7 linked regions of the Canis lupus familiaris genome follow. The protein of the gene in region 1 purifies or fractionates together with the protein of each later gene. This does not show direct contact. Links are inferred from orthologs where the notes say so. Each region holds a gene or a part of one and is shown on either strand. Other genes may lie near its edges. The genes, in order: SHC1, GAB2, LRRK1, INPPL1, RET, KDR and AP2M1.

Region 1 (4,387 bases):
CCCCTAACTTTCTCTCAATCCTTTATCCCTGAAGGTAAGCCATCACTAGCAAGTGACCAAGACCCACTCCCTCCTATACTCACTGATCCAGGAGCCCACTCCCCTATGTACCCCCTCTCCCCTCATTAATTCAGGAATCCCCAGTCTGCCCCCTCCCCACTAACCTGGTGACTTGGGTGCGGGTGTTGAAGTCCAAGGCACGCATTGACTGCAGGACCTCCACACAGCCCATGTACTGAAAGGAGGAAAGGAAGGTAACGAGTCAGCACCCCCTCCACAAAAAGAGTCCCAGGCCTTTCCCCTGAGTGCTTCCTACACTTGATCTTAGCCAAAAGGCTGACTCTGAAGAGTGAAGACCAAGTTTTGCCCACAGCCTGCGGCTACACCCACAATGTGCCAGACCACAGGAAATGAGGGGCGGAGGATCGAGCAAGCCAGGAGGGCCTGGACATCTGGGAAGAGGATCTCGAGGACAGTGATGGGCACTGGGGTGGGGGGTGGGGAAGGTGACATCCCCAGAGGGAGGAGGCTGGAGGATACAATCAGGACCGCTCATTCCCACACTTACTAAGGGTGGCAACGTGCTGGGCTTTGTGCTAAGCATGGCAGGGTGGGGGAGTCACCAGAAGTAAGGGGCCCAGGCAGAGCTGGATGGGAGGGGCCGCAGAATAAGAAAGGGGAAGAGAGAGGTGTGAGAAGCGATCCTGAAACCAAGGGAGGTACCGGCAAGAGCAGAAAACGAGAGGCTCCCAGCTCGGCAAAGCTGGAGTGAGCAGAGGAAGGAGTCTGGGAGGGAGCAGGGAGGACCGAATGGGAGACATTCACTCACCCGAACCAAGTAGGAAACCCCAGGTCCCATGACTTTGTCGTTGGGATGTAGCCAGCCCCGTGTGGGCTTATTGACGAAGCTCCCGTGGCGGGTCCACTCCTCGCCCCCCAGCTGGCCCCCTTCCACCCGCGTCCTGCGCCCGCCTCCTCCACTCAGCTTGTTCATGTCCTGGAGGAGGGGCAGGGGGGCTGAGTCCAGCACGGCGGCCCCTCCAGTCCCCTCCCCATCCTTAGAGGCCCTTCCTGGCTCCCCAGCTGGGTTAGCCAGCTTCAGGTTGCTCATCCGGGGGAAGAAGGAGCACAGGGTAGTGGGACTCTCATCCCCAGGCAGAGGTGGCAGGATGGGCCCCAGGGAGGAGGCCGATGGGGAAGGTAGTTCCTCCGGTGGGGTGGACCCTGAAGCCCCTTCCTCCAGCGATGACAGAGACTCATTCCGAAGTGGATTGTACTTGGGCTTGGGGGGCAGGAGATCCATGGCTGCAGTGAGAGGGAGGCTGCTGCCCAGCCTGGCCCCCCTGCCAGTCAGGGCAAGGGGGCCAGGCAAGGGGCATCCCCAGGCCTTTAGTCTGCTCGGATTCTATGGCCCAGGGATCTCAAGGATCCTGGGGAGGGAGAGTGACAAGTGGCACCAGCGGCCCCAGGCTCAGACCCAGATAGTTTCAGGCCCCATCCCCCGCCCAGCGTGGAGCCTCTTCCCAGGCGGAGAAGAGAACAGGCTGGACCAGAAGCAGCCTGGCTCCTCCCCAGGGGCGGGGAGGGAAGGCCAGAGACCAATCCCGAGGACAGTGCTGACTCACAGGCTCCAAGGGGCTAAGCCCCCACAGCAGCCCCAGCCTAGAACTCTGGCAGGGATAAAGCTCTCGGTGCCCCCACCCTGCCCCGAGACAAACCACCAGTAATCTGGGGAGGAGTAAAGTGGAGTGGGAAGGAAGGATGTGGGAAAGAGAAGGAAAGGAGGGAAATAAGAAGAGGTCTGGATCCATCCACACAGGACATGGGCAGGCCACAGGGAGCAGGAAGCTGCGGGAGGGTAGGGGGACCGGGACAGGAAACAGAGGGAGCTGGGAGTGGAAAGGAGGGGACCCCTGAGCTCAGCACTTCTGTTCCTGTCCTGCTGGAATGCCCCCCCTCCTCCAGCCCTATCACACCGTGGGGTGGTGGCTCTGGGGAGCCTGGGCCATTAGCGCCCTCTGCTACCACAGCTGGGAACAGGTGGTGAAGGGAAGAGGAAAGCATCCAAGTGGTCCCAGTGGACGCAGGGAAGGCCCAAGAGGAAGCACGAAGCTGGAGAAGTAACGGGAACAAAGTCCAACCTGGGTGGTGCACCAGGGAACCTTCAGGCAGGAACTGGAGCCTGGGACGGGCTGATGGAGTCCTGCCCTCCATGGCTGGCACCTACCATGCCAGGGGCAGCAGCCCACAGCCAAGCACTCTTCTGTACCCCATCCCACAGGTCTAGTTAGCAAAGCAGGCTGTCACGGGCAATTCGGTGACAGGGTACTGACACAGGGGTCGGCTTCCTGGGTCACATAGGTGACAGGGCACTGACACAAGGGTTGGCTTCCTGGTCCTGCCAGGCATGTTCATACTCCTTCTCTTAAGTGGAGAAGGTTAGGTGTGCCCAGGGAGCACAGTGCACCCAACACCAGGGGTAGAGTCTCACTGGAGGAGGTGGGAGAGTACAACAGTTCTCCAAGAGAAGTGGGGAGAGGAAAGGACAGGCCATGAAAGCACAGAGGGAGAGGAAGACAAATCTGAGCCGGGGTGCCAGGGACGGGCTGGGGCCCATCCCTTCTGCACAGCTTCCAGCTCCACTAGAGGGGACCTTGAAGGAAGAGGCAAAGTCACCAAAAAAGCACTAGAGATAAATACAACCTCTATGCTCACCTTGGAATTACCTATTCTTAAACTGCAGAAGATACAAAGATGCAAACTAGTAGCTAATAATACTAACACTCAAATCGTGTTAGATACTGTGCTCAACTCTCTCCCCTGGCCTTTAGCTCTCTGGCCTAAAGGGATGGAGGAAAGGCTTCTACCCTGGCCTCTGCAGCCCCTGCACACAGGCCAGGACGTCCTCCCCTGCCGGCGTCTGCACAATCCAGAAGCGAGGACCCGCCCACAGGTGTGGGCCTTAGGAAGGAAAGAAGGAGGAAGTCGGGCTCTTTAAATTTGCATAGGAAAGGAGATGGCCTACAGGGAGTCAGTGTGGCTGGGTGTGTGGGGAGGAGCTGCTCCAGGCTTCTCAGCCCAGCGGGGAGGAGGAGGCAAGTAGCAGGAAATGGCGAAAGCCTCAGGAATGTTTCCAGAAGGGAAGGCTGGGCAAGCGGGACCAGGAGGAATGCCCAGACAAGAGCTCTGCTTGGGGGGGAGGGGAAGAGCCCAAGAAGCGGCGGGGGCTGGGGAGTCCCTTCCAAAAAACTAAACAAACAAAAAAACTCAAACAGCAAAAAGGCCACTGTCCCCTCCACCCACGCCAGGCCACCGTTTCCAGGCAGCAGGACACTCTAGCTCCTGGTGCACCCGCAGGTTGCACGCCAACCTCACGGCCCTACCAGCTCCCGAGGTGCGGGTGCTAGCCCTACAGCTGTCTCTGGGGCGGAGTCTGTCCTGGGCTGGGAACCCAGGAGCAAGTCTCTCGGCCCCTTTGGCGCCAAACCCCAAGTCCAGGCCCCTCTCCGCGGGGCAGGGGGAGGGGCAAGGGAGGCGGAGGGCGGCCCCTGACCTCGCCCGGCTCGCCCCACCTGCTGGAGCAGAAGCACTGGCTCCGCAGAGCTGAGCCCCAAGCCCAAGGAGAAGAGAAGCTGTGTCAGCAAGGGGCTTCGGGACTACCACAGCGCTCCGAGGGGCGGAGCCCGCCCCACTCTGGACGCTGCCCAGGGGGAATGGGCCCCACATCACGGGTACCGGGCACTGTAAGAGGCGAGGCTACAGCACCGCCCGACGCCATCAGGCGGGGGGCGGGGCCTCTCGGAAGGCGTAGCCTCTGGGGCGGGGCTGCCGGCACTCGGCCGGGCCTCGGAGGGGCGGGGCTCTGGCCTCCTGGGGGACCCGTCGCCAGAAGGCGAAGAATCGGAACTCAGAGAACTACCGTCAGGTTTCTCACAGTCGGACTTGGAAGCATGTTCGGGGGTGGGACTTCCAGGAAAGCTGGGCAGCAGGGTGGGGTCGTGGACAATACACAGAAAACAAGTCGGGGTTCGGGGAGCCCCCTGAAGATGGGGGTGGGACTTCCGGGGAGGGGGGTCTCAGGGGGCGGGACTTGCACATGAAGACCGGAAGTAGGGTCCCGGGAGAGGGGTTCCGGGGTGGAGGAATGGGTCACCTTAGGAGAGGGAGAAGACCTAACTCACCAGGGCCTCATGGAGTCTCCGCACCGCACCGCGGCTCGATTTGGTTCCGGATCACGCCACTGCCTCCTTAGGTCGCCGTTCCAACTTTCTCCCCGGCCTGGCCTCCCTGAAGAAACTTTATTGCACTCACTTCCGGCCTCACTAACCCCTGACCCTCTACCTCAGCGTCCCTCCTTCAGCCGTCCCACTTTGCCGAATCAGCCAAT
Region 2 (3,800 bases), on another chromosome or scaffold:
CCTTTAAGTTGCAGAAATGCTCTCTGATATTTGTTTGGGCTCATCCCCAACTAGGGCATGATTGAGAAACAGGTTTCTTCTGAGGCAGGTGCAGAGCCTAAATCAGTAGTTCTTAAACCTGGTTGCATGACAGAACTAAAGAGAAGGAAATGTGAAATATTGCACTAACATGCATTCTAAAATCATCCTCCATTTTTTAAACTCCGGGGAAGTATGAAAGAGAGGGGCCATGTTAGGCCTGCAGGTACAGCAGTCTCCATCCTTAACCTGGTGATTTCTGAGCACCTGTGAGAAGCTTTGAAAAACTAATGACTTTTTCCCTCTTTTCTTCCTCCTCCTCATCCAGGCCTGGAAGAAACGCTGGTTTATCCTGCGGAGTGGCCGGATGAGTGGTGACCCGGATGTTCTGGAATACTACAAGAATGATCACTCCAAGAAGCCCTTGAGGATCATCAACCTGAACTTCTGTGAGCAGGTGGATGCAGGCCTAACCTTCAACAAGAAGGAGCTGCAGGATAGTTTTGTATTTGACATCAAGACCAGTGAGCGCACCTTTTATCTGGTGGCTGAGACAGAGGAGGACATGAATAAGTGGGTCCAGAGCATCTGCCAGATCTGTGGCTTCAATCAGGCTGAGGAGAGCACAGGTAGGAGAACAAACATGAACCTTTCTCTCAAAGGGCAGGGTGCTTCCTGGAGGGGGCTAAGCACTTGGGGCTAAGATGAAGGCCTTCAGATCTTTGAGCAAGGATAGCAGACTGTAGCTAAAGGCTCTCCTCTTTGGCCACTCTAGGTCCAGAGGGATCCCTGGCCCTAATTACATTTAAATGGGAGTCTGAGATGCGTTGAAGTTATAATGAAGCTAAAGGTACTTGGTGATATTTCTTCGGGTACCTTAACACCCCCCACTTTGTCAGCCCTGCACCTTCCACCCCTCTCCTCAGCTTTCTAGCACTCTGTGCTCTCACCTATCTCTCAACCCACGGGCGGCTCACACCTCGATTCCTTCCTGGTCCACCTCTGTCTGGTGGATTTCAAACCATCAGACCATCCTGCCCAGTTACTTGCCACTTTTTTTTTCCTTTGGTTTGAGGTCCTCTGTGATTGTTGTTGATATCTAACCTAGTGTTCTTCTGTATTCACTTGGAAGGAGACAGGTGGAAGGGGGAAATACAGATTTATGTTTCGGTTTTGTTAACTTTCACAACACAGTAGCCCAACTTTTTATTTATTTATTTATTTGAGAGAGAGAGAGAGCACGTGTGTGAGCATAAGCAGGGGTAGGGGCAGAGGAAGAGTAGAGAGAGCCCCAAGCAGATCCCCTGCCACATGCAGGACTGGACATGGGGTTCCACTCAGGGCTCATCATGGGGCTCAATCCCATGACCCCAAGCTCACAATGTGAGCCAAAACCAAGAGTTGGATACTCAACCAACTGAGCCACCCACGCACTCTGAGTAGCCAACTTTTTAAACTAACCTTTAAGTTGCAGAAATGCTCTCTGATATTTGTTTGGGCTCATCTCCAACTAGGGCATGATTGAGAAACAGGTTTCTTCTGAGGCAGGTGCAGAGCCTAAATCAGTAGTTCTTAAACCTGGTTGCATGACAGAACTAAAGAGAAGCATTTTTTAAATGTTGATGCCAAAGATCCATGCCAAGTCAGCTCTCTAGGAATCTCATGGGTGGACCTAGGCGTGAGTGTCTTTTCACAACTTCATTCTGAGTAGCGAAGGTCCAAGGCACCCTTGCTTATTTTTTATTGCTGAATAATATTACATGTATAAAATTTTCTTTATCCATTCATCCGTTAGTGGACACAGGTTGTTTGCATGTCTTGGCTATTGTAAGTAATGTTTCAATGAACATGAGGGTGTGGATATCTCTTCAAGATAATGATTTCAGTTCCTGCAGATTATATACCCAGAAGTAGACTTGCTGGATCATATGGTAGTTCTATTTTTAATTTTTTGAGGAACCACTATACTGTTTTCCATACTACCTATACCAGTGTATATTCCCACCAGTAGTGTACAAGGGTTTTCCTTTCTCTGCATCCCTGCTAGCACTCCATATCTTTTTGATAATGGACAGTTAACAGGTGCGAGGTGATCGCTCATTGCAGTTTTGATTTGATTTACACTTCCCTGGTGATTAATGATGATGTGCACCTTTTCAGGTAACTTGTCCATATGAATGTCTTCCCTGGAAAGATGTCTATTCAGATCCTATGGACATTTTTTAACTGGGTTATTTGTTCTTGTTTTCGTTTTCGTTCTTGAGTCGTGGAAATTCCTTGTGTATTTTGGATATTAACCCCTTATCAGATATGTGGCTTGAAAATACATATTTCCTTCCATTTCTTTGGTTGCTTTTCATCTTGTTGTTACTTTTGCTGCACAGAAGCTTTTTAGGTTAACGTAGTTCCATTTATTTGTTTTTGTCTTGTTTGTGCTTTTGATGTCATATCCAAAAAAACTCATTGCCAAGACCATTGTCAAGGAATATTTTTTGTTTTCTTTTAGGAGTTTTATGGTTTCAGGTCTTACATTTAAATCTTTAACCCAGGGATGCCTGAGTGGCTCAGTGGTTGAGCCTTTGGCTCAGGGTGTGATCCTGGGGTCCCAGTATGGAGTCCCATATCAGGCTCCCTGCAGAAAGCCTGCTTCCACCTCGGCCTATGTCTCAGGCTCTCTCTGTGTCTCTCATAAATAAATAAATACAATCTTTAAAAATAAAATAAAATAAATCTTTAACCCATTTTGAGTTAGTTTTTGTGATTGATATAAGATAGGAGTCCAGTTTCTTTTCTTTTTTTGCATATGAATACCCAGTTTTCCTAGCACCATATTTTGAAGACACTATTATATTTTCTCCATTGAATATGCTTAGCAACCTTGTCAAATATTAGTTGTCATACATGTGAGGCTCTCTGTTGTGTTCCATTGAGCTGTGTGTCAGTTTTTCTGTCATACCATATTGTTTTGATTACAATAGCTTTGTGATATAGTTTGAAATCAGGAAGTGTAATGCCTCCAACTTTGGTATTCTTTCTCAGGATTGCTTTGGCTACTTGGAATCTTGTGGTTCCATAAGAATTTTAGGATTATTTTTTCTACTATTGTAAAAAATGCCATTGAAATCTTTATTGAGATTTCACTGAATCTGTAAATGGTTTTGGGTAGTTGGACATTTTAACAATGGTAATTTTTCCAATCCACAAACATGAGATATCTTTCAATATTATTTATGTCAAAGTTCTTAATTTTTTAATAAGGGGATACATTTTCAGTTTGCGCTAGGCCCTTGAAATTATGTAGTCTATTGTGCCTGGATTGGTGTTCTCTCCAGGAATTCTCTGATTTTCATCTTCCTTGCAGAAGGATTATTAGTCCCCATTTTACCCTTAAAATCTTTGGTATAATCTTTGTTTCCTGTATAGAATTTCCTGTTTTCCCCAAATCTTTGTCATTTATAGGCTTCATGGACTTTGGTTTTCCCTTCATTTTATTCCTGATGAAGGAATAAAAGCTCATTGCATGCAAAAAGAAACAGACAAGGAGGGGGAGAATAAAAAAGGAATCAAAGGAACATAAATGTGAGAGAGAGGTCCAAAGAATATCTCAGCTTTTTAGAAAATAGGTATAATTGGGAGGAAAGTAATCAGAAAGCAAACTATTTTTAAGTCTTTTAATTCCAGTATGGTTAACATACAGTGTTTTTTTTTTTTAAGATTTATTTATTTATTCATGAGAGACACAGAGAGTGAGGCAGAGACATAGGCAGAGGGAGAAGCAGGCT
Region 3 (4,552 bases), on another chromosome or scaffold:
TAAAATAAATAAAATAAAATAAGTAAAATAAAATAAAATAAAAAAATAAGAAAAAAATAAAATAAATAAATAAAATAATAAAATTAAAATTAAATAAATAAAATAAAATAATAAATAAAAAAATAAATAAAATAAAATAATAAATAAATTAATAAAATAAACTAAATAAAATAAATCAAATAAAAAATAAAATAAAATAAAAATAAAATAAAATATAAAATAAATAAAATAAAATAAAATAAATAAAATAAAAATAAAAAAATAAAATAAAATAAAATAAAATAATAAAAATAAAATAAAAAAATAAAATAAATAAAATAAAATAAAATAAAATAAAATAAAATAAAATAAAATAAAAAGAGAAGCTGAGTTGCCCAGGCCGCGTTGGCCACATGAGCTCCAGGGTCCTCCCGCCGCCCCTCCCCGCGTGCTGTTCCTCGTGCTGCCACTAGATGGCGGGCCGCGCGCCCCGGAGGCGCCGCACCGCGAATGCCCGGCTCACTCAGCACCGCGACGCCACGCCCTGCAAATTATTAGGGACTTTTCGGTAGCAATCACATTGCTGCTTTTTGAATACTGGAATTAGGACCAAAATATTGAGGACAGGATTGCAAAACCGCACCCACCCTTTTGCAAAGGGCGTTCCGTGGCCGGCGAGCTAAAGGCGCAGCCTCTTGGGAGCAAAGCGAAGCTGCCCCGTGGTGCCCTTGCCAAGGGGCCACTGCTCAGAGTGTCCTTGAGGTCGTGCGGGGGCCCTGCGTCTGCCTGGCGTTTGTGAAATGGCAGTGAGGGTGGTGGCGAGTCTCTGACTTGCGCTAAAGTCCCAGGAGCCTTCCAGTCGCAGCGCAGGAGAGGTCTAGCCTAGGCTGCGGGTCCTGCCGGGCTGTGGAACCATCTGCTTCTTACTGGGCCGGCTTGTCTTCCTGTGGTTGGCACGCGGAGCCAGGTCTGATGCCTGCTGCACGTCCCTGCGTCTCTGTGATGCCGTCGGATAATGGTCTCCGTCGGGTGATGAACATACATATCGGGTCGAGACATAATAAATGGCCAACATTCCAGCATGTTTTATCTACTCCCCGCAGAATTTAAAATGATTCACCCAACAGTGACATCTTTCTATATTCAGCCCCAATTAAATTCTTGTGACGGAAGGGGCACCGTTTGCCAAACTCTAAAGCTAGAAAATACCTATTTCTATCCTGCCCTGCACAGAGGTGTAGGTCAGAGTACAGTCACTGCGAGGCCCTGCCTAACCCATACAAGTCCGAGGTTAGCCCTTGGGTTTTGCTCCGGAGCCCGGGGACGGTGGACGACGCTGCGTTGAGCAGAGAACCGACCAATCTTGCGGCTGCGCCCGCCCCGACAGGAGAAGGCAGGGCCCCCAGACCCGGCGGGGTCCGCGCGCTGCGAGGGCTCACGGGCCTCCGGGGCGCGGCGTCGGGGCACCTCCGCGTTCCGGCTGGGGAAACTGAGGCGCCCGCGTGCAGCTCGCCGGCAGCGCCGCGCCAGCCCCCCCTCGCCCGCGCTCGCTCCCCGCCAGCCCGCGGGCCGCAGGATTGAGGAAGTGCGTCTGGGCCCGGCCCGGCCCCCGCGCGCGCGGCCGGAGGCGCAGGGGGCGGAGGGCAGGGGACGGCCAGGCCTCGGTCCGCGCGCCCAGCCCCGCGTCCCCGGCGCCCCGGCCCCGGCCCCGGCCCCGGCCCACGCCCCGCCGCCCCGGCCCGCCCCCGCCGCCGCCGCCGCCGCAGGTAAGCGCCCGTCCGCCCGCGCCGCGCCGCGCCCCGCCCCGCCCGGGACCCCCGCAGCCCCCTCGGCGCCCGGACGGCCGCGTGCTCCGCCCAGGTGGCCCGGGGAGGGGGGCACCGAGGGCGCGGGGGACCCCAGGCCCCGGCCCCGGCCCCGGCCCCGGCCCCGCGGAGTGGGGGAGGCGGCGGGCCCCGGAGGGCCACCCCGAAACCCCGCGCGGGCCGCGGCCGGGAGAAGGCGCGAGAAGCACCAGTGAGGCCGAGCCGCGGCCGGGCGACCACGGTCTCCTCCGCCCCTGGAGAAGGCTCCTTGCTTCGGGCCGGCGCGGGCCGGGTGTGAGCCGGGTGTGAGCCGGGTGTGAGCGCGAGCGCGCAGCGTGCGGGCGAGTGTGCGTGCGTGTGTGCCGGGGAGCAGCGCCCGCACCTCCCGCCGGGCTGGGGCTGGGGCTGGGGCTGGGGCTGGGGCTGGGGCTGGGGCTGGCCGGGCTCCTGCGCTCCCGCCGCTGCGGGGGAATCCGCCGTCTCCGCCACCCTCCTCCGCAGACACGCGACAGGTCCGCGAAGGGGCCAAGAGGGGAGCCCGGTTAGGTGGGGGGCCGGGGGAGGTGGCGAGGGAGAGCGTGGGGACCTCTGGCCCGCTCAACCTGCCCCTGCCCGTTTGGAGGCCTGGAAGCTTTCTCCCGGAACACATCAGCAGGGGTCGGAGAGGCAGAGAAAACAGCAGCCTGTGGCGAAGGCTTCAGCAAGGCTCTCAGTGAATACACTCTTTCTAGAGGGTGCCGGCCCCTCAACTTGGTAACAAAGTACCCAGACATTAAAGGGACAACTAGAAGAGGTGCCATTTGGGACGACATTAACATGAAATGCTTTTTGTGATTTGACTCTAATTATCTTTGCTTCCGTCCCTGAAGAATTAAAAAAAAAAAATTAAAAACAAAAATCTCACATCTGATTTGTCCCTAAAGGAGGTTTTGGGGTCAGGGAATGAGCCCATAGTCAGCTCACTTGTTCGCCTTTCCTCTATCCCATACCCTCATCCCTTGAATTCTGTGAACCATCAGCAAGTTCTGTTGGGCTTACCTATGTGTCTGGCTGAGTCCAACCTTTCTTTCTCATTGTCTCCACCTTAGTCCAAGGTACCAGCATTTGTTTCCTGCGTGATTACAATCCTCCCCTCTCCAATTCTTTATGTGACAGCCAGAGAGTCTGTGCGTGTGTTTTTTTTTAATAGGTAAATCAGAATGTGTCAATCCTCTGCTTAGAACCCTGCCATAATTTCTCCTTGTGATTGGCATGAAACCCAGGACACCTCCTTCCCCTCAGTTGATATGGAGTCTGGCATCATCAACCACCTGGCCATTGCTCATGCCACCCTCTACCCCACCCCACCCCACCAGCCACCATGGTCCAGCTGGCTCTTCAGCATATGGCCTCTACATGCTGACCCCTGACTCCTCATACTGCCAGCCACCCCCTGTAAGCCCAGCCTCTTTCTCACATCCGCCCCCCCCCCACCCTTGCTGTCTTTTGCAGTCTCCACTGGTATTATGGTCCCTCTTCATCTATTTGCTCTCTTCTTTAATTGCCTGGCACTCTCCTGGAGCTCCAGGGGTCAGAGACCATTCCTAGGCACCAGCATGGCTCACTGCTGCGTCTTCACGCCCAGAACTGTCTGAGAGGTGCCCAGTACACCCTGGCATACAGATTGAATGGCGAATGGACAGTCTTAACTTGTTTGTGGTTTCAGACTCATGAAGGGCTTCTGTTCCCAGACCTTTGGGTGTTCATCTAGGACTGAGATCTACACATTTCTCTGGTCCGCAGCCCCTTGATATTTTGAAGTCCATGAATCCATTACACACATTCTGTAGGCAAGCCGGTATGTGGTCAGAGGAGGCTAGTAGTGCCAAAGGATTGTCAAGGACTATGGGCCAACCATCTCTACCATGCTTTCACTAAAAAGAATTACTGGATTATCTGAGCTGACGTGCTCATTTGCAAGTGTCTTCTAGCTCTTTGGTACTGACAATCCTTTCCAAGCCTCCTGAAAAGACAAGTAAGCAGGTCCAGGGTCTCCTCTATTTCTCCTCAGTCAGAAATTTTGTGGCAAGCACTTACTTAACTGTGCCTTCCCACCAGCTTTAAGTTTCATGAACACATGGAGTTCACTCCTCATAGAAAGGGCCCAATAAAAACATTTGCGGGATGAATGTCAGCTTCCCCTTTTCTCTTTTTGATTAAGCATTCAGTTTTATTCATTACTGCACGTATAAGGAGCAATGAAAAATTGGTGAGGTTTTAAAAAGTATTAAAATTATTACAGAAAACCTCTTGAAGTCCTCTTAAGGCTGTATGCACCACAATGAAAGGAAGACATGTAACTTACAACCATGATTTGTTGCATTGGTCTGAGCCCAAAAGAAGCAGGAAGAAGCAAAGATCCGTTTGAGGGCAAAGATTGAGCAAAAGTTGAGTTACCTCATTTTAAACCTTCTACCTTAGAGTCTAAGCCAACATACAAATTACAGTTGAAAAACTGTGCCAGTGGTAAAATCCTCCATCGGTAAAGAGATTTTCAAAAGGAAACTGAAAATGAAAAGGGGAACAAAATGTGCTGGCCGAGGGTTGGCCTAAAATATTTTAAAGATTTAAAAAAAAAAAAAAAACTTAAAAGCACTCTATGGTAAGACACTTCTGTTTTCAGAAGGCAAGTCTACTAGCATTTGGATTTTTTGAGGTGGTACTGGGTAGATGTGGTAGCTGATTTTAAGACGTTTGAAAGCAGATGGCCACTGTGCTCCTTGGTGTCT
Region 4 (3,800 bases), on another chromosome or scaffold:
GTGGAGGCCACAAAAGAGCTGCCTGTTGCTTCCCGGGCCCTGTGGTGGGTGTGGAGTCCATGTAGGTCTGGGTGGAGAGGTGGCCAGGAGGGGGGCGGGAGTGGTGGTGGGGGGAGGCTGGTCATTCCTGCTCTTGTTGGCAACACTAGCAGGATAGAAGTGGACTGGCCTCATCATTAACCCGTGAGCAGCCTGAGCAAAGGGTTTTAGGAAAACCAAGCTGAGGGAGCTGGGTCCTGAGCCTGGTAGCAGGAGGAAGGCATGCCTTGGGGCTTAGCCCTAGCCAGGGGCGACAGGTTCTGATCCTCGCTTTGTCACTAGGTATCAGAAGCACGTGCACACATACCGAATCCTACCTGATGGAGAAGACTTCCTGGCTGTGCAGGTAGGAGTCTGGCCCCTGACCCTGATTCCACCCTGTAACTTGGGGTCAGCTGGCTGACACTTCTCCCACTCCTGCTGATTGGCAGACCTCACAGGGCGTGCCCGTGCGCCGTTTCCAGACCCTGGGCGAGCTCATTGGCCTGTACGCCCAGCCCAACCAGGGCCTCGTGTGTGCCCTGCTGCTGCCTGTGGAGCGGGAGCGAGAGCCAGACCCACCCGACGACCGTGATGTCTCAGGTGGTGCTGCACGCTCTGCCACGTGCAGATGCCTTCCCTGCCCCTTCCCCAGGCGCTGCCTGCTTCTTCCCCTCCCATTTTCTCAGTCCCCCTCCCCTAAAGCCCCCTTGCTCCTACCCATGATGCTGGGGCCCTTTACCCCACTTCCATGGAAGCATCTGAAGACACAGCATCCCCCATACTTCACTGACTCCTGTTCACAGATGGGGAGGATGAGAAGCCTCCGCTGCCCCCACGTTCTGGCTCTACCAGTATTTCTGCCCCCGTGGGGCCTGGCAGCCCCCCAGCAGCCCCTGAGACTCCCACAACTCCAGCTGCTGAGAGGTAAGACCAGAAGCCTCCACAGGGAACAGGAATTCCCCTTTCTCCTCTGAGAACCTTGTCCGCTTGGGGGCGGGGGCTTCTAAGCCCCCACTCCACCCCCAGGGGCCCTCATCCCACCTCAGCCCCAGGGGCAGACACCCTGATCCATGGTGCTCTGATCACTGCCAGTACCACCTCTAGGGACAGGGTGGGAGGGCCGGGACAGGGTCAGCAGGTTCTTCACCGACTTCTCCACCCCTCCCTGAAGTGCTCCCAATGGGCTGAGCACTGTCTCGCACGAGTATCTGAAGGGCAGCTACGGACTGGACCTGGAGGCCGTGCGAGGCGGAGCCAGCAACCTGCCCCACCTCACCCGCACCCTTGCCACCTCGTGCCGGAGGCTGCACAGGTACCTGGCACGCGCAACACCGCGCATGCAGCCTCTCCTCTGACCCGTGCTCACCTGCCCCCTGCCCCCTGCACAGATGTCCTGACCTCTGCTCTCTGGCCCGGAACGGGGACTCAGCTGTCGTTTCCTGAATTTTCCTCACCCGTGAACCCTTGGATCCTTATGGTGGAGGCTGAAGCTACACACTCAGCCATCCTTCCCTGTCCTTGGGTCGGGGCGGGGAGTTCTGACCGGTCGTCTCCCCTAGCGAGGTGGACAAGGTCCTGGCGGGTCTGGAGATCCTGTCCAAGGTGTTCGACCAGCAGAGCTCTCCCATGGTCACTCGCCTCTTGCAGCAGCAGGTGGGATTATGGGGGGGGCCTGTGGGGAGTGGGTTGATGTCTGGGGCCGGGGGGACCCTCCTGTTCAGCGGCCTCAGGGACCAGTCTTACCCTTCCTCTGTGCAGAATCCAGCACAGACCGGGGAGCAGGAGCTGGAGAGCCTGGTGTTGAAGCTGTCGGTGTTAAAGGACTTCTTGTCGGGCATCCAGAAGAAGGTAGCCTGGCTCCTGACCTCTGACCTGACCCACCAGACCCCAACTATTTGCAATGACCTAAGTGATCTCCACCCCCAGTCTACACCTCAGCATCGACCCCACTGTCAGCCGTCTCCCTCCCAGTCCCAGCTCTCTGCACATCCCCTGACCTTGCCTGCCCTTACTCGCCCCAGGCACTGAAGGTCCTGCAGGACATGAGCTCTACGGCCCCGCCAGCCCCGCCGCAGCCGGCTATACGTAAGGCCAAGACTGTGCCTGTGCAGGCCTTTGAGGTACGCAAGGAAGTGTTGGGGGGACCCCTGGGGCAAAGGGCGGTGGAGGGTGGAGGGGGTGGTATTTGCCCGGGGTCTTTTCAGCAGCCCCCCACCTCGTGACCTGCAGGTGAAGTTAGATGTGACCCTGGGTGACCTGACCAAGATCGGGAAGTCACAGAAGTTCACGCTCAGCGTGGATGTGGAGGGCGGGCGGCTGGTGCTGCTGCGGAGGCAGCGGGACTCACAGGAGGACTGGACGACCTTCACACATGACCGCAGTGAGCCAGGGCCCGACCTTGGGCGGGGGGGGGGCGGGGGGCGGGCAGGGCAGCCTCCGGGCCTCAGTGCACGGGCCAGTGTGACCGGCCTCCATCCCCTAGTCCGCCAGCTCATTAAGTCCCAGCGTGTCCAGAACAAGCTAGGCGTCGTGTTTGAGAAGGAGAAGGATCGGACACAGCGCAAGGACTTCATCTTTGTCAGCGCCCGGGTGAGCAGCGTGTTGGGCTGGCCCCCTGCAGGGGTTCCTGGGGGCTGGAAGGAGAGGAAATGTGTGATGCAGGTGACCCGTCCCTCCTGACAGGGCAGACAGTGTATGTATGGAGATGGGTGGCCCGAGGGTAGAGGCAGATAGATGTTCATTTGGTGAACATTTCCTGAGAGGTGTCCTCTGCTTGAGTAGTGGGTGTACAGTGGTGGACCAGACAGGCGTGTCCCTCCCCTCATGGGACCTGCCACCTACCAGGGACCTCCCCTAACTGGCTGTTGTCCCCCCAGAAGCGGGAGGCCTTCTGCCAGCTACTGCAGCTCATGAAGAACAAGCACTCCAAGCAAGATGAGCCGGACATGATCTCTGTCTTCATAGGCAGTTGGAACATGGGTCAGGCCCGGGTAGGGCTGGGGTGGGAGAGAGGTCAGGGGTCAGGGTCAGGGGCCTGACCATCACCCCATCCCCTTCACCTCCAGGAAGCGTGCCACCTCCAAAAAACGTGACATCTTGGTTCACATCAAAGGGTCTAGGGAAGACCCTGGATGAGGTCACGGTGACCATACCCCATGACATCTATGTCTTCGGGACCCAGGAAAACTCGGTGGGTGACCGCGAGTGGCTGGACCTGCTACGCGGGGGCCTCAAGGAGCTCACAGATCTGGATTACCGCCCGGTGAGAGAGGGTCATCCTGTCCAGTCTCCCCTCCTCAGACCCCAACCCAAACGATCCTGCTTGACCCCACAGGCCACCCGGGGAGCACAACTTGCCTGCCTTTCCCTCTGGCCCCCGGGGTATCCTTTAGGAAATCTAATGAGTGCTTCATGCTGTAGGAATGTGCTCTGTTTCTCTCTGGCCCTTCAGGAGAAAGGGTGGCAGCCCTTCCTATCCTGTGACTGACGGTGCCCTCTCCAGTATAGACAGGGGTGGGGTGGGGGGCATGGAATGCGGCAGTGCCCCAGCCCCAGGCAGGGATAACCGCGAGCCTTCTTCCCAGATTGCCATGCAGTCGCTGTGGAACATCAAGGTAGCCGTGCTGGTCAAGCCAGAGCATGAGAACCGAATCAGCCATGTCAGTACGTCCAGCGTGAAGACTGGCATCGCCAACACCCTGGGTGAGCGGGTGGCCAGGATCCCTCTGTCCACACCTCCTGCTTCCTCTCCAGCTCATAGTCTCCCCCTTTCAGGTGGT
Region 5 (3,800 bases), on another chromosome or scaffold:
TTATTGCTGCATAGGATTCCGTGGTGTGAAAACTACACTTTGCATATCCACTGACCTGCTGAAGGGCATCTGGGCTGTTGCCAGTTCTTGACTGTGTGAATAACCCTGCCATTTGTGAATAGGTCATTTAATGGACATATGTTTTCATTTCTCTTGGATAAATTCAGTGGGATTTCTGGGTCAAACGGTAGGAGTGTTTAACTTTAGATAAAGATTTGTTTCTCTTATAAAGCGCCCGGGTCCAGGGACACCTAGGTGGCCCAGTTGATCAAGTGTCTGGCTCTTGGTTTTGGCTCAGGTTATGATCTCATAGGTGATGAGATCAAGCCCGACTACAGGCTCCAAGCACAGTGGGGAAAACTGCTTGAAGATTCTCTCTCTGCCCCTCCCCCAATATGCATACACTTGCATGTGCACGCTATCTCTCTAAAATAAATAAACCTTATAAATGAATGAATGAATAAGGTGTCCTGGTTCATTTTAGGTGACTGTTGCCTGCCCTGCTTGTCTGGCATCCTCGTGTACACTTGAAAACCTTGGGTTCAGGTGATTTGGTGAGAAACCAGGGTAAACTCCCAGCTTTTATCAAACTTGGGTAATTGAGAATGATTTTATAGTGGTTTTATACTGCCTCCTCCTCTCTTTATCTATTTTACAGCAATCCACTTGCAGCTTGTGTTTAGCTACACAGATAGTTGTGTGTTGATGTTAGGATTATAGGTAAGAAAGTCCTATGAAGATCAGAATTTTATTTATTTCTGTATTTATGTATGAAAGTCTTTAATTCTATAAATTCTGGAGGCTGAGATCTCTTTCTTATAATTTCAGAATGAGGAGACTCCTAACTTACACACAGTTTTGCTTATAAACTATTACTTATGCTAGATTGGAATTTTAGTTAGTAAAACTTTTGGTCCATAGAGAACCTTTTATCAAAGTGTGAACTAAAGCTGCTAGAGAGTGCTGGTCTGCCTGGGAGGTCTGCTCTGGATATTGTCATCACCACTCCCTCCCTCACATGCTTCCCTGCTTTCTGCAGCTCCACTGGGACTCTACTTCTCCAGGGATGCTTATTGGGAGAAGCTGTATGTGGACCAGCCATCTGGCATGCCCCTGCTCTATGTCCATGCCCTGCGGGACATCCCCGAGGAGGTGCCTAGCTTCCGCCTAGGCCAGCACCTTTACGGCATCGCCTACCGTGCAAGGCTGCATGAGAACGACTGGATCCGCATCGAGGAGGACACAGGCCTTCTCTACCTTAACCGGAGCCTGGATCACAGCACCTGGGAGAAGCTCAGCATCCGCAGTAAGGGAGCTGCCTGACCCCACCCTGTCTTCTTCTCTCACAGCCCACATCACACCCACACTGAGGCTCGGGAAGGTGGCTCCTGTGTGATCCCTGCTGTGTAAGAGTGAAGGGTGAGGTGCAAACATAGGGGAGTGGCCGCTACCCTGGGGCTGAGAGAGAGGACCCAGGAAGAGTCCTTATCACTCTAGCAGAGATCCAGACCTTGTTGGAGAAAGAGCCTCCATGATGGAGTTTGCTGGAAATTCCCCCCTCCAGGTGCTGGGAAAGTCTGTCCTCTGTCTATGGGTGTGTCTCTGCAGTGGCGCCGATGAGGAAAGCCCTTGGGGAGGGTTGGGGAGGGTGAAGACCCCCCCACCCATGCAGTACATGTGCACCATGCAAAGTAGAAACCAGCCTGGCAAAGCTCTCCACCTGCTATTAGACCCAGGACTCAGGGCACCCCTCTGAGGGGGCAATGATGCAGTAGAGGCTGGTGGGGAGAAATAGGAGGAATAGTAGACCCCAGTGCTCAGAGCACCTGAGGGAGTGGTATTTGAGCTGAACCTGAATGACAAGAGAGGCAGGCCTGTGAGGCACCCTAGGCAGAGGGAGCAGAACCATGGGACCATGAGCAGAGACAGGCATCCTGGTCTAGGGCAGCTCAGGGCAGGCAGGAGGTGGCCAGGCAGCGTAGAGAGCCCAGTGGAGCCCTGTGGACAAGGGTGAGGACTGGACTTTCCACCAGCCCTGGAGCTCCTGCCCCCTCCCCTGCTGGTATGGTGATGCCCCACCAGGCCTGACTTCTCTGTCTACAGATGGCGGCTTCCCTGTGCTCACCATCTACGTCCAGGTCTTCCTGTCATCTGCATCCCTGCGTGAGGGCGAGTGCCAGTGGCCAGGCTGTGCCCGTGTGTACTTCTCCTTCATTAACACCTCCTTCCCAGCTTGTGGTTCCCTCAAACCCCGGGAGCTCTGCTTCCCTGAGACTGGTGTCTCCTTCCGCATTCGAGAGAACAGGCCTCCCGGCACCTTCCACCAATTCCGTCTGCTGCCCATGCAGTTCCTCTGCCCCAACATCAGCGTGTCCTACAAGCTCCTAGAAGGTGAGTGCTGACCTCGCAGAGTGACCCTTGGTGCTGCTGTATGCCAGGTATGGCACCACCAGCTCTTGACAGCCATCTGGTGTACTCTGCACCACCACACCACCCTTTCATTTAATATCCCAGAAATATTTCTTGTGTGCCTGTCATGAACCAAGTACCGTTCTAAGGGCTAAAGATGTGACCGTGAACAAAATAAGTCACAATCTTGCCTCCCTAGAGCCTCCATTACCCCTGGGAAGTGGAGGCCATGCTCATGCCAAGGCAATGGAGGTGATCTCTGGAACATGCTAGTTGGGAAGTAAACTTCCAGGAATGTGGAGTGGTGGAGACTGTGGTCCTCTGTGCCCTGGCTGGGAAAGGGAGCACTGGAGCCAAGGTGGGAGGGTACCAGGGAAGCTGTGCTAGCCCCTTTGATCGCTGTGGTGGGGCCACTGTGTGGCTGGACTGGGGAGAGTAGAGGCACATGAAGATACAGAAGTTCCTGAGGATTTCCCCTTGAGGGACTGGGGAGTCATGGAAGGCTTATAGGGGGTGGCACTGACAAGACCTGACTTACCCCTAAAGGATTATTCCAGCTGCTATGCTAGGAATGATTCGATATGGGCAGGGGAGGGTGGAAGCAGGGTTACTACCTGAGAAATCCCTAAGCAACAGAATGAAGACTGGAAGAAGGGTGGAAGCCACAGAGCAGCGAGAAGCAGGTGGCTTCTGGGCATGTTTTGAAGGAAGATCCAGCATGATTCCTTGATGAGTTGGATGTGGGTGTTAAGGGAAAGAGGGGAGTCAGTGTGGTTCCAGGATTCCACCTGAGCAGCTGCAAGGGTAGCCAACTTGGCCACAAGATGGCCCTGGGGAGGCTGGCCAAGGTGAGAGCAGGCGGTAGATCCCCAGGGAGTTGAGAGAAGCCACCTGAACAGATCCATGACAGGAGGCACCATCGAAATATCCAAAGCAAGAAGGTGGGACACAGAAGGCACACTGCTAGTTAGGGGGACGTGGATTCACACCAGGTTTAATTGCATACACACGGCAATGATGTTAAAGCAGATCTCAGTAAGGTAAGGAAAGGAGCCAGCCACTCCCCCAGCCTCCTTCCATTTGCCCTGCAGCTGGGCTAAATGTCTTTGTGCAAGGTTGTCAGCCACACATCAGGTTTAGCAGGCTGCCCTTCCTCATGAAGATTACATAATTAAATTTTGTTGAGCATGTGTTTTGTAACCATAAACAACAGAGAGAAACATATGATAAGCATTTCCCAGGTGTAATTCATATATAATATGTGGCTCTGACGTGAGGGACCGAGGGATGCTTGTTCTCCCATGCAGTGGAGCTGACGTAACCCTCCATGCTTGGCTGTGAGGGTGGTCAGTGTGGACCTTCAAGCCCTCAGCATTTCCCCCTTTTTCCTG
Region 6 (4,260 bases), on another chromosome or scaffold:
ATGTGGAATTTAAGAGACAAAACAAATGAACAAACAAAACAAAAAGACAAATAAAAAATAGACTCTTAAAAATAGAAAACTAGCTGATGGATACCAGAGGGGAGGTAAGTTGGGAGATGGGTGATACAGGTGATGGGGATTAAAGAGTATGTTTATCATGATGAGCACTGAGTAATGTACAGAACTGTTGAATCACTATATTGTGGACCTGAAACTAATATAACACTGTATGTTAATTATACTAGAATTTTAAAAATAATTTTAAAAAATGTTTAAAGAACCACTGACTTCTGAGGCCTAAGCTACCCTGATCTTGTTGGGTAAATAAGACAGTATTTGCAAATATGAAAAAGTAAGAGTAGAGAGAGTGAGCAAATATCCAGTGCAAATACCTAATACACTGAATCTGTGGATCCCAAAGTGAATGGCCACAGACAAAACAAACAGCTGATCACATATATTTCTACACACTCACCCAGATGTACAAAGTAGGTTGTTGACACAACTGCAGATTTGTTGATCAATATCATAGTTTAAAAAAAAACACTAGAAATTAAGTTGCATCAGTAAATCTCAGAAACTCATTGGTATTGGTACTGACTTGTGTTTGGGCCAATAATTCTTAAGCTTTAGGACGTGTAAGACATCCCTAGCCCTCCAAATCTGCATTTTAACAAGCACTTAACATGATTTGATCACACATGGTCTATGGGATACTCTTGGACAGCTGTTGATCTGGCTTATCATGTTCAGTTAATTAGCGTAGCACTTTTCAATATGGAAGGAAAAAACTGTCCTCAAAGTAGACAAACAATAAAGCAAAGTGTTTAAAGCAATAGAAAAGCCTTCCAACAATGAAGTCTCACTTTGTTTAAGAAAAGGAAAATAAAAACAACTGATTCGGATGAGTTCAAGTATCAAACTTGGCTGGGAAACACTAGGTTGAGAAACATGTTGAAAGCAGTAACTTAATACAATTTGTACAATGATCCAAATGAGAAAGAACGGATTATTTGGGCACATTTATGTGAGAAAAAAAATGTAGCAAAAGTACGGCTCTAAATAAGCTATGTTTGTCCTACCAGCAAAATAAGAGGTTCTTGAAGATCTCTCATAAATTATTGTCACGGATTATCTCACCCTCTGGACACACTTTCTTATGTTAAAAAAATTAATTAAAGATATGTTCCCCCTTCATAGGAAGCTAAGACAATACCATACTATCCTAGAGACATGTATACAACAAAAATCTTTTCAGCAAGCCTCTATCAATAAGGATAACTCCAAATTCGTATCTGTAGACCAACCAACATTCGATTTTGTTTTCCTCCACTAAGCTTCATTCATTTCCATGGGCAAGTTTAAGTCCTACTCTTCAGAAAATTCTAAAGAAATAACTACAAGAAGTACATATGCTGCTACTCTATAAAAAGCCCTTCTATGTTCAAATCCTCTAACCCAAATTAATTAATTTGTGCGCTATTACCCTTCCAGCTCAAAGACAGGAAGGAAAAACAACAGTGCCTCTGTCTCTAGAATTTGATGGCACCAATTATAGCCCAATCCAATTAAGCAAGTCACACACTCCAAAAGGGCAACCTCATCGTTATATTCAGGGCAACCCGATTGCAGTTACTACTGCTGCGCTATGAAACACCCCAGGCTTAGAAGCAACTCACTTCTTTGTGGGATACTGAACAACCACATGTTCCAGACCATAAAGGGGGAGAGCGAGGTCTTGTCAGGGACAAATGAGTGTCCATGGTGGAGCTGGCCCCGATGAACCAAGTCATTATTAAGAAAATTTAATAACTATAGATAGATGATCTTGTTACTGTATACGAATGCCTTTTCTTTTCTTTTCTTTTCTTTTTTTTTTTTTAAGACATGCGATTCTTTTATTCCAGTGTAAGGAATTTTTCCCCGAATTATCTGACTTTTTTTTTCCTCCCTCCACCCTCTCCCCTTTCTCACCCTCCGAAGAGTGGAAATCTGGAAATCGGCAAACTCTGGCCACAGAAAAGAGATACGAGAAGGGCGCGTGGGGGAGCGGGGAGGGGAGGGTGTTGAGTAGAGCGAAGAGGGAAAGACAGACATTCATGGCATCAAGAGCATGTGTGTTCCTAATCCTGAAGGAGACTGACATTTTAGGTGGCAAGGAAAGAACCGAGGGGCGCTAACTCTAGCTACCGAGTCCCGCAGAGTTAAGTTTTCAGAACTTGAACTTCTGACCGTGCGCTTATCCCAAGGACCCGAGCTTTGAAAGATGCCGTTGTTTTACATAAGAAGGTGACTGTTACTTGGAGACATTTGGGGAAGCTGTCACAACCCCCCCCCCCCCCCCCCCCCGGGCTGAGAGCCCTTTCACCTTCTCCCTGCAAGGAGAGCAGCATCCAGCATCAAGGGGAAAAGAAAAAAAAAAAGTTTCCCTCCCGAGCCGCACCCCCTACACGGTGGGTGGGTTTGTGGGCTGCAGCCCGGAGGGAAAGGCACCCCGGGGTCCCCCTGGACTCCGCGAGCGGAGCGCGCGGCGCGGTGGGAGCTACTGGCCCGCGCTCCCTGCGCGGCGTCCCTCCCGCCGGGCACCTCCTGCTGCCAGCCGCGGGCGCCCGCCCTCCCGAGAGCTCCGCAGGCCCGGGTCGGAGGCCACCTTCTGCAAGGAACCGGGGCTCTGGAGACCACCAACTCTTTGGAAACCCTTGGGCCAATCCAAGAGCGTCAGCCTCCAGGTTGGCAAATGAAAAAAAAGAAAAAAAAAACGACCGAGTTGTCAAGTGGCTTCGCTTCGCTCCGGCTCTCCGGTTCCGGGGCAGGCGGGCCTGCAGGACCTCTCGGCATCCCCGGTCTCTCGCCCGCGCCCGACCTCTCCGCCGTCCTTCTGGGGCGTGGGCTCCTTACCCCCGGAGGCAGCCCCGGTCTCCACGCAGAGCCACAGAGCGATGGCCAGCAGCGCCTTGCTCTCCATCCCGACCTCGCGCGCGGCGCGGCGCAGCGCCCCGGACTCCGGCGCGGCTCTTCCTCCCCGGGCCCGCCCCGAGAAGAAGGCGCGGAGGCGGGACGGGCGCCGCAGCGCAGGACCGTGCGGCGCGGGGGGCAGGGCGGGGGCGCCCGGGCTCCGGCCACGGCGCGCAGGGGCGTCTGCGGGGGCGGCGGGCAGAGGAAATGCGCGCGGCGCGGCGGCGCTGGGCTTCCCGTAGCGCGCAAGTGATGCCCCGCGCGGGCCGAGGGGACGGCACGGTGCACCGGCCGCGCTCCCGGGGTCCCGGGGCTCAGTGCGCGGTGGGAGCCGGGGCCGAGACTCTAGAGCCTGGGGGCGGGGCCTGGAGGGGCGGGGCCTGGGTGGGCGGGGCCCTACCGGGGCGTGGCCCAGAGGGGCGTGGCTCCCCGCGGCCGGCGGCCCCGCCCCCCAGCCCCGCCCCCGGGGCCCGCTACGTCTCGCCTGGGCCGGCGCCTGGCCCCGGGTCTCCCGAGCGCAGCAACCCCCCTTCGGGTAGCGATGCGGCGTGGCCGGGGCAGGGCTTCTGCGACCCTCCAGGCTTCAGGAGGTTGGGGCCCTCGGAGATGGGGGCGGGGGGCTCTGAGCCTTGCGGGGGGCTCCGGGATGTGCGACCGTCCCCGGCGCCCGCGGCGTCCCTCCAGGGGCTGGGGACGGACAGACGGGGGCCAGCAGCAGGTTGCACGGAGCCCGGGCGCAGGCAGGATCGCAAACCCGCAGCGAGTGCAGCCAGGTCGAGTGTTTTGCTTGGCCAGCAAAATTGTAGCTTAAAAATCTGAATCTGAATGCCTTCAGTCAGGATCTGCACCCGCTCAGTTCTCCAGAGTTCTCCCTGTTTCCTCTCATACCTGGCAGCTTCAGATGTTTGTAGGTTTGCAGCCTAGCCGCCCCCCCCCCCCAAAGGCGATTAAACTGGTACCCCTTACCTGCTTTTTACCAAAAACCGACATCAGGGCTCCAGGGAGCTGCAGGTACCCAGGGCTCTAGCGTCCCCGCAGCGTGAGAGTCGCCCCTCCCCGAGGAGGCTGTCGCCTTGAGACTAGGACTTCTGTCCACCGTGTTAGCTGACAACGAGCCCCTACGTGAGTCCTCCTGGGCTTGTGACCAGGCCCCTCTGCAGAACAGAGCTCCCAGCCAAGATAGCCTTAGGCCCCGTGAGAAGGAGGCCGGCTTCCCTGGAGAAGCAATGAAGCGAGGGCTCCCAGACCTGGGCACCCAGAACAACCCGTCCCAAACCTCACAACTACCCCTGCGCTTGTAGACTC
Region 7 (4,500 bases), on another chromosome or scaffold:
CTCCAAATTTTAGATCTGTGTTATCCACTGGACGTCACCATGGACATATCTATATGGACTCAACTCATTTCCCCCATCAAGTGTGTTCCTCCTTAATTCCAACTCTGATGATCTTTAGCACAGTCTACATAGGCATACCAGCTAGGAACATTTATGGACTTAAATTCTTCCCCAACTCTTACTAGTCAGCATATCATATCCATTCCACTTCAACAGTCTTTCTTGAATATGGTCCTTCTTCTCCCCCCGCCTCTACCCTAATTCATAGGAGCACGGGATTTGGAGTCAGGTTGTTCTGGGCTTGAATCCCAGCTCTACTACTTTTTGGTTTCGTGATAAGAGAGTTACTTAATCTCTCTGAGCCTCAATTCCCTCATATGTAAAATGATGATAATAATACCTACCTCACAGGGTTGTTGTGAGGATTTAAATTAGACTTGTACGAAAAGTGCCTAGCACAGTGCCTGGCACAGAGTAGAATAGGTGCTCAATAAATGGTAGCTATTATTATTACTACTACTACTATTATTATTTATTCTAAATTGGTAGGGTATTATTGATTGAAGATAAAGCTTTTGGAAAGGTAGCAGTGAAGATCTGAGTGCCGGTTCAAGATTTAGAAATGCCTGTATTCAGTCACTTAATGGATTCACATGGTGACCACTGTTTGAGGAAGGCCAGATCTTCATCCTGCCACATTCTGGCTTCTAGCAGGAGGATGCTGGGACAGTAGGGTTTGTAACCAGGTTTGCCCTTTTTTGCCCTTCCTCCCATGATGGGCTCAGCACCAGTGAAGGCATAAGGGAAGCTCTCCGTACAGAAAGAGAAGAGCTAACATTTTCTTCGGGTCCTGTAAAAGTCAAGCAGGGCTTTCATATCTGAGGGTTTGCTCTGTCTTTTCTTCTCAGCTTGGGTGTGAAGATTAACTCTGTTCATTAGAGAAGGGATTTCAAGTTCCATGTCCAGCTAAACTTGCCAGCAGTTTTTTAAGCAACATATATGCCATCACTAGAAGGCACACAGGTCCTGGCCTCAAGGGGTCACATAGGTATGTGTAGTTGGGATAGAACAGACATTCTTGAAAAGCTTTGGCTAGTTTCTTACAAGTATTTGCCTCCTCCATCTTTGCCCTTTTACTTGGGTCTTGATCCCTGGGAAGAGGCTCACATCTGGAACAAATATTTGATGAAAAGTCTTGGGAAAATCAGAGCTGGTGTTAGAAAGCAGTAAATTTAGTGCAAACACTTCTGCCAAGTCGTGTGTGTGTGTGTGTAAAGTGAGCACAGCCAGTGTTCGGACTCCAGAGACGGAAAAGGCCTACAGCAATCTCAAGCTTAACAGATGGGCTTCAACAAATGGCATTAATCCTCCGAAGCTCTCCTAGACGCTGAACAGGATGGATTGCAGACTACAATTCCCAGAATGCTCGGTAGGGAAAATGAAGCGAGTGGAGCGGAGTATGATGGGATGTGGCCACGCCTATCCCTCCCCAAGGCACGCCTAACCCGCTGAAGGCAGTCGGTAGTTGTAGTCTTCCTAAACCTAGAAAGGCTAAAATTGTAAGCTAGAAGGCCGAAGGGCCTGACGGGATTTGTAGTCGGCTCGGTCGCCGGACGCGCACGCGCAACTGTGTTCGGGGCGGGGCCACGGCACTGCGGTGAAAGCCGAGGCAGCGGGCTGGCGAGCAGGGGGCGGGCGGACATCTTGGGATCTGGAGAGTGGCCGGGCGGGCCGAGCAGGCGGCCGCGGACGCCAGGTAAGCTCGGAATCCGGCGGAGAGTAAGGGAGAACGCGTACCCCGCTACCCAGCTTTGCCCTTCCCTGCACTGCGCTGCGCGAAAAGCTGCCCACAGCCGGGAGGGGCCTCAGCCTTCTGATCTGGAGCTGACGGCGGGGCGGGGGCGCCCGGGGCGCGGTTGCAGGGTGGGCAGGGAGCGGCGCCCTCCACCGGCAGTCCGGCGCCTTCCGTGACAGGGAGACCTCCTGGGGTCCCCCCGGAGCCAGGATGCCGCGCGGCGCCCCCTTCCTCGGGATCGTGACAGCCCCCCTGGTGCCTTGGCGCCGCCTCCTCCCAGCGCAAGGACAATTCCCCCATCTCCTCGACGGTGACACCCCCTCGGGCCGTCTCCCTGGGCTGTGACAGGCCTCCCACCAGCCGCACCCCCTCCCCCCAGTTGAGTGACACCCCTCGGCTCTTCTTCCTCAGACCTGTGACAGCCCCCGCAGCCCCGTGGAGCCATGTTCATCCCCGCGATGTCTTGCTCCCCTAGACGAAGAGCCCACCCCCCGTCATGCCTCCACACTTGAACCCTAAAGCAAGTTAACGCCGCCCCAGCTTTCCCCTATTCGCCACTTGTCAGTCTCCTCCCTGCTGTTTCAAAGTCTTGACCTTTGCCACACTGGAAACTCCTTCCTCCAGATGTCCCCGTCCCCCCCCCCGCCCCCCAGCCCCCAGCCCCAGCCCTCTTGCTGCTGCAGGTTCACCTGACTAGACCGCCTGGCTCCTTCTGCCCGTCCTTCCCCTTAGCTCAGTATTCCCCTCCTGCCCTGGGCCCCACCTCCGCTCCTTCGGTGCCCTGCGGCCCCTACCACTTGATATCTGTGAACTTGCTTCTTTGCCCGGGGCTCTACCTCCCATTTTTCATTTCCTTTCCCAGCCTTTTTTGGGACTCTGGGGTGGAATGTGTCCACCACCACCTTGAGAGACCTCTCACTGAGTTGGGGAGACCCTGATGGCCTCAGTAATAGGGCTTTATTTTCCAGTTTAGAAAAGTCTGCTAAACTCCCTCTGCCCTGTAAAATCAATACCAGAGCTAATTCAGGAAATCTAGAATTAAATTAACCCTTTTTCTCCTTGCAAATATTTTGACCCAAATAATTTGGATAATGCACACCTATTCTCTGCCCCTTCCTTATAGGTACTCAGGCCAGAAATGAGTTATGTCATGGTTCTGGAATCATAGAATGTCAGCTGGATTGATCTTTGTGTTTTATAAACCTGTACTCCCACCCCCTTATTTTTACTGCACTTGGGAACTGAGAGGGATCCTCCCTTTTTGAAAGGGAGGTGGTTAAAAATAACTAATAAGCAGCTTGGGTCATTGAAGTGTAGTCGGCCAAGGCTGGGCCCTTTCTCCTCTGCTCTTTTGCCTGCTTATCTGACTGCCTGGGATTGGTTGGAGCCACACTCCAGGGTCTGTGTCAGGGCCTAAGGCCTCCCTTGTCTCCTCCCCACACCCTGCACACCCTTTCCTGGAATGTTTAGACTTCTGTGAATTAGAGAGCCACAGGTTCAGGCCCTGCTGTCTTCTCCGAAGGGTTAGTGGAGCCTGAGAGACCGGGTGCTCCTAAAGCCGTGCCTGGGGGCCCCAGGCCTGAACCAAGTGGAATAATTCCTACCGCCATTCCTGCAGCCGCAGGCAGGCCTTCCCAGTGACTCACCGGCTAGAGTCTGAGTGAGAGTCTGCACAGGAAGGGGCCAAAAAGGATCTGTGCTGAGCTCAGCACTGAAAAGAGGGGGAGGGGGCTACACTCTGGGCTCAGCCCCAGGAAAGGGAGGGTCAAAATGGCCTTAGAATCCTGGGCCCAAGTCCCTCTCCATTTCTTTCTCCTTTCCAGTGTGAGATAAACAGGAACTGGAGCCTGGCTAAGGGGAGGGGCATGCCTGGGGAGGGCTTCAGGGTCACTTACTGGAGGGTTGAGTCAGGAAAAAAAGCCCAGCCAGTGACCTGCACAGCCCCACAGGGGATGTTGGCAGAGGTTCTGAGGCCTTCCCTTACCCTGCCTCCGCCTGTCCTAGGTCTGTTCTCAGAGCGATGGGCCTTGGAGACTGAGCTGCCGCCATGATTGGAGGCTTATTCATCTATAATCACAAGGGGGAGGTGCTCATCTCCCGGGTCTACCGAGATGACATCGGGTGAGTCCCCTGGCTGAGCCAGCTGTGTCCCCACCCCTCATCCCTCCTCCCCAGCATGCAGGACCAGGTCCGTTCCTACCAGAGACTGGACTTTGGCCACCCCCATCCCTCGCTGCATCTTAGAAGCTCAGCTAATACAATCTGGTTCCCATTAGGTCTGGTGGTATTGGCCTGGCAGCCAGTTATTGGCCAATAGGTGGGACCTGTGGAATGGTGTGGCCCCCCACAGTCTTAGGAACTCTTGTCCTTCCTGCCTTCTCCTTTCCTTAGTGACAGACCTAGTTGCTAGAAATGAGTGCTTTTGCCCTGGTAGATGAATTCCTCCCTTGAGGAGGAGGGAGATCTTTCTCCAGGGGGTGAAGTTAGTGGACAGGCTAGTGGTACTAGTCCATCTAAGTCTTGCTCTCAAAAGCCCTTCTCACGGTGAGAGCCTTCACTGAATTCTCTTGAAAGCTTCTCCAGGCTGCCAAATCCTCTCCTACTCCCTTTCTCAGGAGGAGGCAGGCTGCTGACTCAGCTGTTTTCAGTTCCTCTGGGCCACTCCTAGAAGAGAGGTTGTGAGCAAGCTTGGGGCACTCTCCGGG

The links.
Region 2: the proteins of SHC1 (region 1) and GAB2 purify together in Homo sapiens (affinity purification with western blotting; 6 studies listed by BioGRID and IntAct, with this or other methods). This does not show direct contact. The link is inferred for Canis lupus familiaris from reciprocal best matches to the Homo sapiens genes SHC1 and GAB2.
Region 3: the proteins of SHC1 (region 1) and LRRK1 purify together in Homo sapiens (affinity purification with mass spectrometry; 3 studies listed by BioGRID and IntAct, with this or other methods). This does not show direct contact. The link is inferred for Canis lupus familiaris from reciprocal best matches to the Homo sapiens genes SHC1 and LRRK1.
Region 4: the proteins of SHC1 (region 1) and INPPL1 purify together in Homo sapiens (affinity purification with western blotting; 4 studies listed by BioGRID and IntAct, with this or other methods). This does not show direct contact. The link is inferred for Canis lupus familiaris from reciprocal best matches to the Homo sapiens genes SHC1 and INPPL1.
Region 5: the proteins of SHC1 (region 1) and RET purify together in Homo sapiens (affinity purification with western blotting; 4 studies listed by BioGRID and IntAct, with this or other methods). This does not show direct contact. The link is inferred for Canis lupus familiaris from reciprocal best matches to the Homo sapiens genes SHC1 and RET.
Region 6: the proteins of SHC1 (region 1) and KDR purify together in Homo sapiens (affinity purification with western blotting; 3 studies listed by BioGRID and IntAct, with this or other methods). This does not show direct contact. The link is inferred for Canis lupus familiaris from reciprocal best matches to the Homo sapiens genes SHC1 and KDR.
Region 7: the proteins of SHC1 (region 1) and AP2M1 purify together in Homo sapiens (affinity purification with mass spectrometry; 3 studies listed by BioGRID and IntAct, with this or other methods). This does not show direct contact. The link is inferred for Canis lupus familiaris from reciprocal best matches to the Homo sapiens genes SHC1 and AP2M1.

What each region holds. Positions count from the first base shown.
Region 1 is NC_049228.1:42,487,129-42,491,515, reverse strand, and holds the start of SHC1 (SHC-transforming protein 1), read right to left. Parts: upstream 2,962-4,387; 5' UTR 1,304-2,961; coding exon 830-1,303; intron 236-829; coding exon 165-235; intron 1-164. UniProt on the Homo sapiens protein: Signaling adapter that couples activated growth factor receptors to signaling pathways. Participates in a signaling cascade initiated by activated KIT and KITLG/SCF.
Region 2 is NC_049242.1:20,669,808-20,673,607, forward strand, and holds part of GAB2 (GRB2-associated-binding protein 2), read left to right. Parts: intron 1-346; coding exon 347-647; intron 648-3,800. UniProt on the Homo sapiens protein: Adapter protein which acts downstream of several membrane receptors including cytokine, antigen, hormone, cell matrix and growth factor receptors to regulate multiple signaling pathways.
Region 3 is NC_049224.1:40,487,945-40,492,496, reverse strand, and holds the start of LRRK1 (leucine-rich repeat serine/threonine-protein kinase 1), read left to right. Parts: upstream 1-1,728; 5' UTR 1,729-1,745; intron 1,746-4,552.
Region 4 is NC_049242.1:26,025,575-26,029,374, reverse strand, and holds part of INPPL1 (phosphatidylinositol 3,4,5-trisphosphate 5-phosphatase 2), read left to right. Parts: intron 1-321; coding exon 322-385; intron 386-470; coding exon 471-621; intron 622-824; coding exon 825-945; intron 946-1,192; coding exon 1,193-1,333; intron 1,334-1,580; coding exon 1,581-1,674; intron 1,675-1,779; coding exon 1,780-1,869; intron 1,870-2,042; coding exon 2,043-2,141; intron 2,142-2,250; coding exon 2,251-2,401; intron 2,402-2,503; coding exon 2,504-2,610; intron 2,611-2,897; coding exon 2,898-3,000; intron 3,001-3,086; coding exon 3,087-3,283; intron 3,284-3,605; coding exon 3,606-3,723; intron 3,724-3,800. UniProt on the Homo sapiens protein: Phosphatidylinositol (PtdIns) phosphatase that specifically hydrolyzes the 5-phosphate of phosphatidylinositol-3,4,5-trisphosphate (PtdIns(3,4,5)P3) to produce PtdIns(3,4)P2, thereby negatively regulating the PI3K (phosphoinositide 3-kinase) pathways.
Region 5 is NC_049249.1:4,124,673-4,128,472, reverse strand, and holds part of RET (proto-oncogene tyrosine-protein kinase receptor Ret), read left to right. Parts: intron 1-1,039; coding exon 1,040-1,306; intron 1,307-2,103; coding exon 2,104-2,391; intron 2,392-3,402; exon of another isoform or gene 3,403-3,800. UniProt on the Homo sapiens protein: Receptor tyrosine-protein kinase involved in numerous cellular mechanisms including cell proliferation, neuronal navigation, cell migration, and cell differentiation in response to glia cell line-derived growth family factors (GDNF, NRTN, ARTN, PSPN and GDF15).
Region 6 is NC_049234.1:48,245,058-48,249,317, forward strand, and holds the start of KDR (vascular endothelial growth factor receptor 2 precursor), read right to left. Parts: upstream 2,966-4,260; coding exon 2,899-2,965; intron 1-2,898. UniProt on the Homo sapiens protein: Tyrosine-protein kinase that acts as a cell-surface receptor for VEGFA, VEGFC and VEGFD. Plays an essential role in the regulation of angiogenesis, vascular development, vascular permeability, and embryonic hematopoiesis.
Region 7 is NC_049255.1:17,241,198-17,245,697, forward strand, and holds the start of AP2M1 (AP-2 complex subunit mu), read left to right. Parts: upstream 1-1,637; 5' UTR 1,638-1,756; intron 1,757-3,799; 5' UTR 3,800-3,842; coding exon 3,843-3,916; intron 3,917-4,500.